3 linked regions of the Caenorhabditis elegans genome follow. The protein of the gene in region 1 interacts with the protein of each later gene in a pairwise test. Each region holds a gene or a part of one and is shown in the gene's direction. Other genes may lie near its edges. The genes, in order: Y56A3A.28, mec-3 and ZK546.5.

Region 1 (3,756 bases):
TTATTTTTCTGGATAGAATTCTGGAAAAAGCATGGAAAAGTTGATTTTAAGATTTTTTCCCTAAAAATGTGTTGGAAAACGACAAAAATTGCCGATTTTCACCTGTAAAATCGGAAATTTTGCGATTTTGCTGGAAATTTAGGTAAAAATTGCCAGAAAACCTAGAAAAAAATTCAAGATTTTCCCATAAAATGGTAGTAAAATTGTCACTTTTCAGTTAAAAACTAAAAAAAATTCAGGGGTTTGCTCTAAATTTTCCCCTGATTCCGAATATCTATGTGAAAAATTGGAAAAAAACGTCCCTTTTATTGTAGAAAATCGACGATTTTCAAACGCGCGCCAGAGAGCCAGAGACGATTCTCATTGGAACGCACCGTGTTGTGTCGATTTACGAGATTTGTTTTTTTAAAGCCAATTTTTTGCTGTTTCTTCATTTTTTTTTTCGGTTTTTTGAACATTTTATTATTATAAAACTCGCAAAATTTCCTTATTTTTAGATGGAAAATGATTTAAATTCAGAGAAAAAAAACCGAATTTTTTCGATTTTTTCAAAGAAAATCGGAATTTTTCTTCTTTTTTTTTTTAAATAGAAAACCGGAATTTTTCTATTTCTTTCCAGAGAAAATCGGAATTTTTTCGTTTTTTTTAATTTTTTTCAAAGAAAATCGGAATTTTTTCGATTTTTTTTTTGATTTTTTAGAGAAAATCGGAATATTTTCGATTTTTTCAAAGAAAATCGGAATTTTTTCCATTTTTTCATATAGTTTTCCAGAGAAAATCGGAATTTTTTCCATTTTTTAAAAGAGAAAATCGGAATTTTTTTGAAATTTTTAAGGAGAAAATTAGAATTTTTTCGATTTTTTAAAAGAGAAAATTAAAATTTTTTTTTTCTATTTTTTCAGAGAAAAATCGAAAAACAGAAATTGTTTTTTAATCGAAAAAAAAATTCGAGAAAATTTCTATTTAAAAACTCCAATTTTCTCTTTAAAAACTCAAAAAATTCCGATTTTCTCTGAATTTACCTCCTTTTTCATCTAAAAATAGGAAATTTTCGCGGTTTTCTGATCATAAAATGTTCAATTGGCTCGAAAATACACAATTTTCAACGAAAAAAACCGATAAAAATGAATAAAAAGCTGAAAGCTGGCTCGTAAATCGGCACAAGACACAGCGCGCTTCAATGTCTGGCGCGCGTTTGAAAATCGTCGATTTTCTACAATAAAAGGGACTTTTTTTTCCAATTTTTCACATAGATATTTTAAACAAGGAGCAAATTTGGAGCAAAACCTGGAGAATCTTGTTTTTTTTTTTGGTTTTTAACTGAAAATTGACAATTTTACTACAATTTTGTGGGAAATTCTTGAATTTTTTAAAGTTTTTCTGGCAATTTTTGACATTTTCCACCAAAATTTAAATTAATTTCAAAGGGAAAAATTGATTGGTTTCAGACGTGGAAAATCGCAAAATTTTTGATTTTTGTGAAAAAAAAAACCTATTTTTTAGCGTATTTTAAAAATATTTCCACTAAACTCAAATTTAATTTTTTAAAAAATTTTAAAAAATTTCCAGACCGCCCATCCGTCTCCGCTGAGTGCTCGCAAGTGGTGGGGATGCAAATGCTTCTCGAAATGCAACACGGAGCTCGAAAATTCCGGTCGAAACCCGATTAATTGGGCGGATTTATGAATAAATTCTCCTGTCGAACACCCTGCGTCTCTTCATCTCACACACTCTCTCGCCACTCACTGAAGAACTCTGTTATTTATCGATTTTTCTATTTTCTCTTCATTTTTCCTCATTTTTTCCTCATTTTTTCGGTTTTTCATCATAAAAATTCGATTTTCTGGCCATTTTTTTGTTCAATTTCCAATTTTTCATTCGTTTCAACGATTTTTAAATGCTTTTCACGGAAATTGCAGCGAAAAATTGTTTTTTTAACAGAAAAAAAGAATGCGGCGACAAAAAACCGAAGAGGAACGGAGCTGGACTTCAATTTCTCGGCATTTTTTATGCCTTGAATGTAGAAAATATTTCCGGAATAAGGTAGAGAAGATAATATTCTAATTAAATCGCAGAAAATATATTAAAAATTGAAAAAAAAAAACCGATTTTTCCCAAAAAATATATTAAAAAACCGAAAAAATTCCAATTTCTTCTTTAAAAAAATTTAAAAACATTGAAAAATGCTAATTTTTCTTATAAAAAACGAGAAAATTCCGATTTTTCTCTAAAAATATATTAAAAATTGAAATTATTCCGATTTTTCAGTAAAAATATCAAAAAATCAGATTTTTCTCTAAAAATACATTAAAAAATCAGATTTTTCTCTAAAAATACATTAAAAAATCCGTTTTTTTTTTAAATTTATATTAAAAATCGAAAAATTCCGATTTTTCTCTTTAAAAAATCGAAAAAATTGCAATTTTCTCAAAAAAAAATCGAAAAAAAAATTCCAATTTTTCTTTAAAAATATAAATATATATATAAAAAAGCGGAAAAATTCTGATTTTCTCAAAAAAAAAATTACAAATTAAAAAAATCCGACTTTTCTCTAAAAAAATTATTAAAAATCGAAAAAGATTCCTATTTTAATTTAATACAAAAATTAAAAATCGAAAAAAAAATTCGATTTTTCTTTTAAAAAATTTAAAAAATTGAAACATTTCCGATTTTTCTCTAAAAATATATTAAAAGAATCGAAAAAATTCCGATTTTTCTCACAAAATAATTTAAAAAATCAGAAATTTTTTTTTTTTAAACGAATATTTCAATTTTAATTCAAAAAATTTCATTTTTCAGCGCGAGTTCTATTGGCACACCGAAGATTGTCTTATGGAAGCTTTTGAACGAGAAGTTGCTCTAAGCGTATCCCGTGGAGCCGACGAAGATATCGCTGAAAATGAGGAAGAATGGGATGATCAACCATCAGAAGAAGCTCTTGTTAGTACGAAAAATCTAGAAAAACCAGGAAAAAATCACGAAAAAACGCGATTTTTCACAAAAAAAATGCCTAGAAACATAATAAATTTGAGCCTATTTCAGATTTTTTGGAGCAAAATCAGGCCTAAACTCGAAAAAAATTTGCTCTGAAAAAAAATATCGAGAAAATTCCAATTTTCTGTTTAAAAAATCGAAAAAAATCCGGTTTTTTTTTTCGTTAAAAAATATATAAAAATCGACAAAATTTTCGATTTTTTTTTTTTTTAATCGAAAAATTCTGATTTTCTCACAAAAAATTGACAAATTTTCGATTTTCTGTAAAAATTTTAAAAAACGAAAAAATGCCGCTTTTGTCTTAAAAAAATCAAAAACTAGAAAAAACTTTCGATTTTCTCTGAAAAAATTTAAAAAATCGAGAAAAATCCGATTTTCTATTTAAAAAAATCGAAAAAATGTCGATTTTTTTTATCGAAAAATTCTGATTTTCACACAAAAAAAAAAAATTTTTCCATATATTTCCGATTTTTTCTTTAAAAAACCACAAAAAAAATCCAATTTTTCGTTAAAAAATATATAAAAATCAACAAAATGTTCGATTTTATCTGAAAAAATTAAAAAATCTAAAAATTCTGTTTTTCTATTAAAAAAATCGAAAAAATGTCGATTTTCTTTTGTTTTTTAATCGAAAAATTCCAATTTTCGATTTTCCGTAAATTTTTTTCAAAAAATAGAAAAAAATGTCGATTTTGTCTTTAAAAAATTCAAAAAAAACTGGAATAATCTCAAAAACCACAAAAATGAGAACCGCCCGACCAA
Region 2 (3,756 bases), on another chromosome or scaffold:
TGTAGATTTGGGTAGATCTTCAGTTTATATGATCTTCGATTGTGCTATTTTCGGATTTTTATGGATAAAAATTACATCTTAAAACTCTCGGAATAAACTATCAAAATGAGGAGCGATGTGTTTTTTTTTAATTTTGCCCTGCAGGTACCCGGAGTAGTTGGCGAAGATAGAAATGGTGTTATCTTATATAAATTCAGACTTTCTCTGTTAAAATTTTAACCACCAAAAAATATAGAATTTATAAAAAGTTTCATTTTGAAATTTTATCTTTTGGGGCCATTTCACTACCTTATCAGGAAGAAATGTGTTTCATCAGAAATTGAATTTTTCATCTTTTCAGAAAGTGTACCTAATACCGTATCATGCTCATATTCACGTGAATAAGGCTTCTGCCCAGTTCTGTGATTCAAGGAAAACTACGAAAAATGATCTCATTTTCTTTGATTTATCACCGAGCTGGTGTGTCATCACACACAGTCTGTTTCTTGATAAAAACGCGCAGAAGTTAGAGCATTCATTGTGATTTTGGGTCTTTAATTTCTGTAAAACAAATAAAGTGACAAGTTTATCATCTGCCTATTTTATCAGTTATATGCATGGTTAGTTGCAAATAAGGGAGTAGAAATTGACTAAAACTCAAAATGAGCACTGAAACGAGGGGTTTTGTTAGTTGCGAAATAACAATTAATACAATCTGGTTGATTACTTTGTAAAAGGATAATAAAATATGCAAAACTTGGCGTATTCTGAGATTTCATTCCTAAAGACATTTATCAAAACAAATGTTTTCTGCAATTTTCTAAATTCTTGGAATTCTGCCCAGCAGCCTCTAATATCGCGTTTTACTTAGAAAATGACTTTTGGTTTCATTTTCTCATTTTCTGGCTTCTATTTTTCACAAATGCAAATATTTACATTTAAATTAGTACTTTCATTTCTACAAAGATCAAATTTAACATTATTGACAGGTTTACTGTTATCTTGTGACAGTTCCGTACTGTCAATCAAAACGAAAATTAAAACTCATGAAATATCAATGAACATAAATTGAAAAAAAAACCCAGTTGAAAGGAGAAAATAAGCGAAACACACCAACAACTGAGTAGTTACGCTCACAATTTGGAAATGATTTTGAAAACTCTCTGGACTGCATTTCAATTTTTAACAAACAATGAATACATACTGATAGTTTTTGTACTTCTCGGCATTCAGAGGCAACTTCCTGCCAACAACCTGGCAACTTATTTAGTGCCACTAAAATAAGTTGCCAAATTGTTGGCAGGAAGTTGCCTCCAAATGCCGAGTTGGAGCAAATGATTCGATATGATTTTAAGGATACCTACGCATGCCTCCTGCCAAGACACGCACCCACCTACTGAAATGTCGCGGAATTTTACCTCCCAAACTATAGATTGGGTGAAACTTCACTGTAAAAGCTTTTTTTAAGTAGTAGGCTGGCAGTAATGAAGACGTCCATACCATAATTTTTAATGTTGTATAGAAAATCTGAATTCTCAAGTATAACATTTTCCAATAATTAGCATAGTCAGAAACTCTCCACCGCCGTTCCGTTCCTTTTTTTTGTAACTATGGAGTAATAGAACAAGATTATTCAAATTCAAATTTTTATAAAACTTTACAACGTCCTTTCCATATATTCTTCACACAACATTTGAAAAAACAACAAATTCATTCGAAATGCATTGCCCATAATGAATCGACCGAAAAACACAAGTGACCGTCAGGAGATCGATAGAGAGAGCCCGTTCCAACTAGACAACTTTTTAGTGCTTATCCTTACACACACTTTCTAGCTTCATAAGAAATGCATCTATTATCGTCACCATTTGGAGACACCAGTTTTAGCGCACATTAATAATCGATCAGGGTCTAGAGACTCCTGTTGGATTGGCATGCCACGCCTACATGACATCTGGCTCTTGACGGGTGATTTGTTACAGTGAGTAGCCACAATTTCGCGCATTTTCTTCTAAATTTCACTGTTATTTGTTCTTCTGATTTATTTCATTTGAACTATGGAAATGTTAGAGTCAAAGCCTCTCAGTGCGATTAGTATGGTTATTGATTCAATTGGAGTTGATCATGAAAATCAGGTGAGTAATTAAACTTGAGCAGTTGTGAATTTCATCAGAAAACAATTTTTCTTTAAAAAAATTTAAAAGTAACAATTTGAGAGTCAGAAAAATGAAATTAACATCAATCGAAAACTTACATTGCATTTGCTTGAAAGTTTTTACAAAGACTTCTGCGTGTCAAGAAATTCCAATTTGAAATTTATACAAAATCCGCACGAGGGAAAATTTCTGTTCGACTTTCAGAGAGTCAAGTAAAATTACCGCATCTTCTAAAAATTCTGAAAGTTAGATTCTGAAAGTCAATCGTGTAAACTTTTGGTTGGTATTCATTCTATTTTCCAATCTCATTTTATCGATACGATCTCTAGTGAAACTTGTGTCTAACATTCTATAATTTTTTTAAATATTTCTAGAACAAATGTAATTGCTGCAATGAGCAAATTTATGATCGTTATATTTATCGAGTAAGTTTGCTGATGTTTGTGGATTTTTCAAACTTTCTTTGCTTTGCTTCTGTAAACAGTCTGCTCAAAATCTTGAATATTTTTCTTTTGCTTCTATAGTTCGAACAACATTTCAAGATTTCAGCCATCATTTATTTTCAGATGGACAATCGATCGTATCACGAAAATTGTGTCAAATGTACAATATGTGAGTCTCCTCTGGCCGAAAAGTGTTTTTGGAAAAATGGGAGAATTTATTGTAGTCAACATTATTATAAGTAAGCTTTAGCAAAATATTCTTGGAATTAATAAAAATACATTATTTCAGGGATCACAGTATTCATCGGTGTGCGGGTTGCAAGAAAGGAGTGTCACCGACAGATATGGTATATAAACTGAAGGTATTAAATTGGGTCAGAATGTTTAAGAAAACATTAAACTTTGAGCGAACCTATACAAAAAGTTGTCAACTTTTTATCAATTAAATTTTTGACTACTTTTGTATAAACAGTAGGAATGCCCGAAAGATTTCAAAAAGCCTACAATTTCAAATTAAAAAAAAAACCAAAGCTTTGACTAATAGTTTTGAAAGATGTAATCATTTTTTACGCTTTGCTCTTTGCTCTGACGGGATCCTGCTAGACGCACAAGCATAGAGCTTGGGGCTTTGATCGGTAAAGTTTGACTCAAAGAACTTTACAGGCTGGGCTCGTGTTCCATGTGGAATGTCATTGTTGCTCTTTGTGTGGACGGCATTTATCACCGGGGGAACAAATTCTTGTTGACGATACAATGATGACCGTATCCTGTATGTCACATTATCCTCCTCAAATGGATGACAACGCACCTGGAGCAATAGGATCTGCAGTTGATATACCATCTTGTTCGACAGAAAATCCAATTGCCCCATATCCAATTGATGAATCTTTTTCATCAGCTTTCCAAGTTAAAAAGGTATACTTTATTTTTCGTTGAAAGTTTAAAGGGATTAAATACCGAATAATGTACTGCATATTTAATTTTTAGGAGGTTGACGCTTATGGATACAACTTTGAGCATTATAGCTTTTCCGATTTCTGTGATGATGATTCACGAATGCTAAAAAGACGCGGACCTAGAACGACAATCAAACAAAATCAGGTATACAATGTAAGAAAGCGGAAATTTTCATAATGATTTTCAGTTGGACGTGCTGAATGAAATGTTCTCGAATACAC
Region 3 (3,756 bases), on another chromosome or scaffold:
AACTCTATTAAGTGTCTCTGTAATAATATTCTTTTTTTAGATTGTTGCCGTTTTAAGGAAATAAACTAAATTGCAATTAATTTTCTTGATTCAATTACTTCCCGCACTTCGATGTAGTGTTTTGATGTATTGAATCATGAAATTACTTTATTTTCAACAAAAAAGTTGGTAAAGTGTTCCTAGAATTAAAATGGTGTAACTGGACGAGTCTCAACCCATTTTTTGATATTTGGAATAGAATGAATCTTCTTTTGATGAGCCTTGAGTTCTGGGAATTCGTCTAGAAGTGATTGACTGGCAGCAAACACAGATCCACTGTCACTGAGAAGATCTGATGTATGTTGAGCAATCAACAGATCAACCCAGGTGACAGAGTCACCGATCAAGAATCCAGATCCACTGGCTTTAAGGAAATTGGTGAAGAATTGGTAGTTTTTCTTGAAATTTGGAAGGAATGTGTCCTTGTAAAGAGCATCGGCATCTCCTTGTGCAAATCCCATTTTCACGAGATTATAAGATCGGATGTCATTGAGATAATCTTTGAATTGATCTGCAATTGCATTCACTTGAGCTTCTTCCCATGGACATCTTCCATTTATTCCAAATTGGCGAGCAAGAAAACGAGAAATTGCATGGGATTGTCCAAGTGGTTTCCCATCCTGATAAAGGACAGGAAGAGTTCCGAACGGCATAGCTGGAAATATAGAAAATTCAATACAACATTTTTAGACATAAAAAAATTAAATTAGAAAAACCTGTACACAAATATCCCGCCAGCCTCGCAATTAAAAGTGATCGTATTTGTTATTCTATTACATGGAAGATACTTTAACATATATCTCGATTTTGGAACTATACATATTTCATTTCAAAGAGCACCTTCTAAATAGGTCCCTACAAAAAAGTTAGATTTATACGGGAACTTTGAACCAAAAAAGGTAGTTCTGAGATTGCTTTCAGGTCAGTTTTTGTGAACAAAAATCAATGATTTATAATAAGACCCAGAATATTGGTGTCAGGTCTAATCAAGATTTTATCAAGTGGATCTCGCCACGCCCACAGCGGTTAGAGCGGCACAACATTTTAATCACGAATAAATAGTATTTTGAAAAAAAAAGTTTCAAAAACTCACTCGACTTGAGAGCTGGCCAATCAGCCTGTGGAATCCGGTGATCCTCAAACTTTTGCCCGGCATATGCCAGAATCTGTCGTGGAATTTCTCCAGCAAATCGAATTGGAAAATATGAAAGTTTATAGTGGACCATAGTGTGTTTGGAGTCGAATGATGAAAGACCAATTCAAACATTCTCTTTTATACTGTCTCCTTCATTCAATTTGTTTGTCATTCTCATCGTGTTTTTTTTTCGAAGTAAGGCGGCATTAAAAATGTACGAGAAAGGTTGCCAAAATGATGACAATTGCTTGGAATTGGGAGAAAATCGAGGAAACTAGAGACGCGTCTTGCCACATTTATCATCCTTGCTAATATTAAGGTGTGATTCTGTTGGTCTTACGTGATTTGAGAATGCTCTTTTTTATAGTCAGCATATTTGAGACACTAGTGTAATAATGAAGAATTGAGAACAGTTCATATCTAACAAAATGACTATTACAATGTAAACTTTAATTAATAAAAAAAATTAATTTAAATTTCCGTTCTTCACTAATTACCTGGCAATTTACGAAAAAATACGGTACCCGGTCTCGAAACGACCAACTAGATTTAAAGGAGTACTGTAGATCTCGCAATTGTCTTGGATTTGTTGTTATTTTCATAATTTACATCAAAATTGGAATTCAGAGCTGAAGACATGAAGAGTACGTACAGTTTTGCTTACCGAACAAAAAATATACGATTATTTTTAATACTTTTTGGTCCAATTTACTCGTCTAGTGGCCCTTCCCACAAAGTCGACTCCAACGCTGCGTCTCCGTTCTCTCGCTTGCATCCAATGGAGCGCACTTACATTAAATTTTATTTATTGAATTTTTATCGGTTTTGCCATGTATTTTTTAGTTTTAATTCCTCTAACTTTCTACAATTTAGTAAACTTTTTTGTTTTTAGATGGCTGCAATTATAGGTGGAGGACCACGAAAACCGCCAAGAATCATACGAAAAAATGTAGCGCTTAAACATACGCGGAAAGGTATAAAAATATTGTTTTTAGTCGCAGAAGTCATAATTCAAATCATTATAGATGTTCGAGACGACGAAGGTGAAAAAGTTAAACGAGAAGGATATGAAGTACAATCAGGAGTATTGACTGTAAATGAGGTAGATTTGTTATTTAATTTAAGTATTAAATTATTGTAGGAAAAATTATTAATATTCAGAATCACCCATCCAACTTCAAACCGAAGAAATTGCCAGGAATCGCTAACGATGTCGAATCTTATCCATGCCGATTTTGTGAGGAGAAAATTTTTTTGACTGCATCAGGACTTGAAAAGCATGGAAGAGAGTGTCACCTGCAGAATTTAGACGATATCATGCTAGATATTAATACAATTTGTGGAGAATGGAAGAAAAGAGAGGTATTTTAAATTTAGAAAATTGTAACTTTTTTTAAAACAAAATAAAGATTTCAGTTCGAACGGCTCCGATCTCGCGATCGACTAACAATGGATAAAATGAGACACGAAGCAAGAGCACATCAACTTGTAAAAGCTGTTCTTGCTGGAAGTAAGTAAAATTAGAAAAAAATAAATAAATATATAATAAAATGTACATTTTAAGATCAGCCGACTGTAGGAGGAGAACAATATGAAGCTTGTACAATCTGTAATATGCTCGTCAACATAGCACATCCAACAGCCATGGAATCTCATCAAAGAGCACACAAAAAGAATGACGAGCTTCGATTACAGCTTATTGATCGATTAGGAGCTCACGAGGTTCAGAATCTGACGTGTGAATTATGCTCATTAGTATTTCCTGATGATGGGAAGCTAAGAGCCCACGTTACATCGCATCACACCCGACGAAAAAAATATATTTGCAAGTTCTGCGGTCATATCTCTCACAGTATGTCAGAGTTGAATCTCCATAAAAACGATGTTCATAATTATGTAAGTTAGATTTAAATTCAACATTTTCGATTAATTTTTTCATTTTCAGACAGCATGGGCAAATGTACCAGAATACCTGAAATCACGTCGAACATTTTACCAATATGATGAAGAACAAAAACGATTGCGGCGACGAACAAATTTTGAAATGGCTGATGAAATGTCAATTCGACTGCCAATTCTTGGAGAGATTTCTGATGGAGACACTGCCGGACGAGTTACATGTCCAGAATGCGGACTAAAGTTGAATCGACCTCGTCTTTTGTTCAAGCACATGGAACGAGTTCATATGAAATCTTCGTTTTCTTGTATGGTTGAGACAGGAGGTCTCCCTACCTTTGAGTAATTATTTGTTTTAAACAAGAAAAATATCTAGAAAAAATATTTTTGCAGATTAGAAGTATCAAATGGTGAGATCTTTTGGACGTGCTGTGATTCTAAATTCGACAATCGTCCGGAGTTCATCGAACATCGACGTCTTCATATTCCAACTCAACATGAAGAAGTCGTTGTTGAAAGCTCCGAAGATCCGAATGATATTCCATCTACATCCCAAGCAATGATTCCAGATGAGGATGCAAATGAAGCAGCAGAACAACACAACTTCCCACAAATGATTCATGATGAGCATGGAAATATTCAAGTTCTCTTACCAGAAGGATATGATCTCAGAGAAACTTATTATA

Evidence for each region.
Region 2: the proteins of Y56A3A.28 (region 1) and mec-3 interact in a two-hybrid assay, tested with the Caenorhabditis elegans proteins (one large-scale study listed by BioGRID).
Region 3: the proteins of Y56A3A.28 (region 1) and ZK546.5 interact in a two-hybrid assay, tested with the Caenorhabditis elegans proteins (one large-scale study listed by BioGRID).

The regions. Positions count from the first base shown.
Region 1 is NC_003281.10:11,969,553-11,973,308, reverse strand, and holds the start of Y56A3A.28 (C2H2-type domain-containing protein), read left to right. Parts: upstream 1-1,941; 5' UTR 1,942-1,950; coding exon 1,951-2,043; intron 2,044-2,799; coding exon 2,800-2,940; intron 2,941-3,756. Other genes in the region: ung-1 (Uracil-DNA glycosylase), read left to right, coding at 1,570-1,686.
Region 2 is NC_003282.8:10,460,047-10,463,802, reverse strand, and holds the start of mec-3 (Mechanosensory protein 3), read left to right. Parts: upstream 1-1,935; 5' UTR 1,936-2,036; coding exon 2,037-2,114; intron 2,115-2,509; coding exon 2,510-2,560; intron 2,561-2,701; coding exon 2,702-2,817; intron 2,818-2,867; coding exon 2,868-2,940; intron 2,941-3,241; coding exon 3,242-3,493; intron 3,494-3,565; coding exon 3,566-3,679; intron 3,680-3,722; coding exon 3,723-3,756. UniProt on the Caenorhabditis elegans protein: Transcription factor. Specifies differentiation of the set of six touch receptor neurons (TRNs).
Region 3 is NC_003280.10:4,933,752-4,937,507, forward strand, and holds the start of ZK546.5 (C2H2-type domain-containing protein), read left to right. Parts: upstream 1-2,066; coding exon 2,067-2,148; intron 2,149-2,199; coding exon 2,200-2,276; intron 2,277-2,335; coding exon 2,336-2,536; intron 2,537-2,590; coding exon 2,591-2,684; intron 2,685-2,738; coding exon 2,739-3,070; intron 3,071-3,119; coding exon 3,120-3,412; intron 3,413-3,463; coding exon 3,464-3,756. Other genes in the region: gst-30 (glutathione transferase), read right to left, coding at 186-694, 1,133-1,265.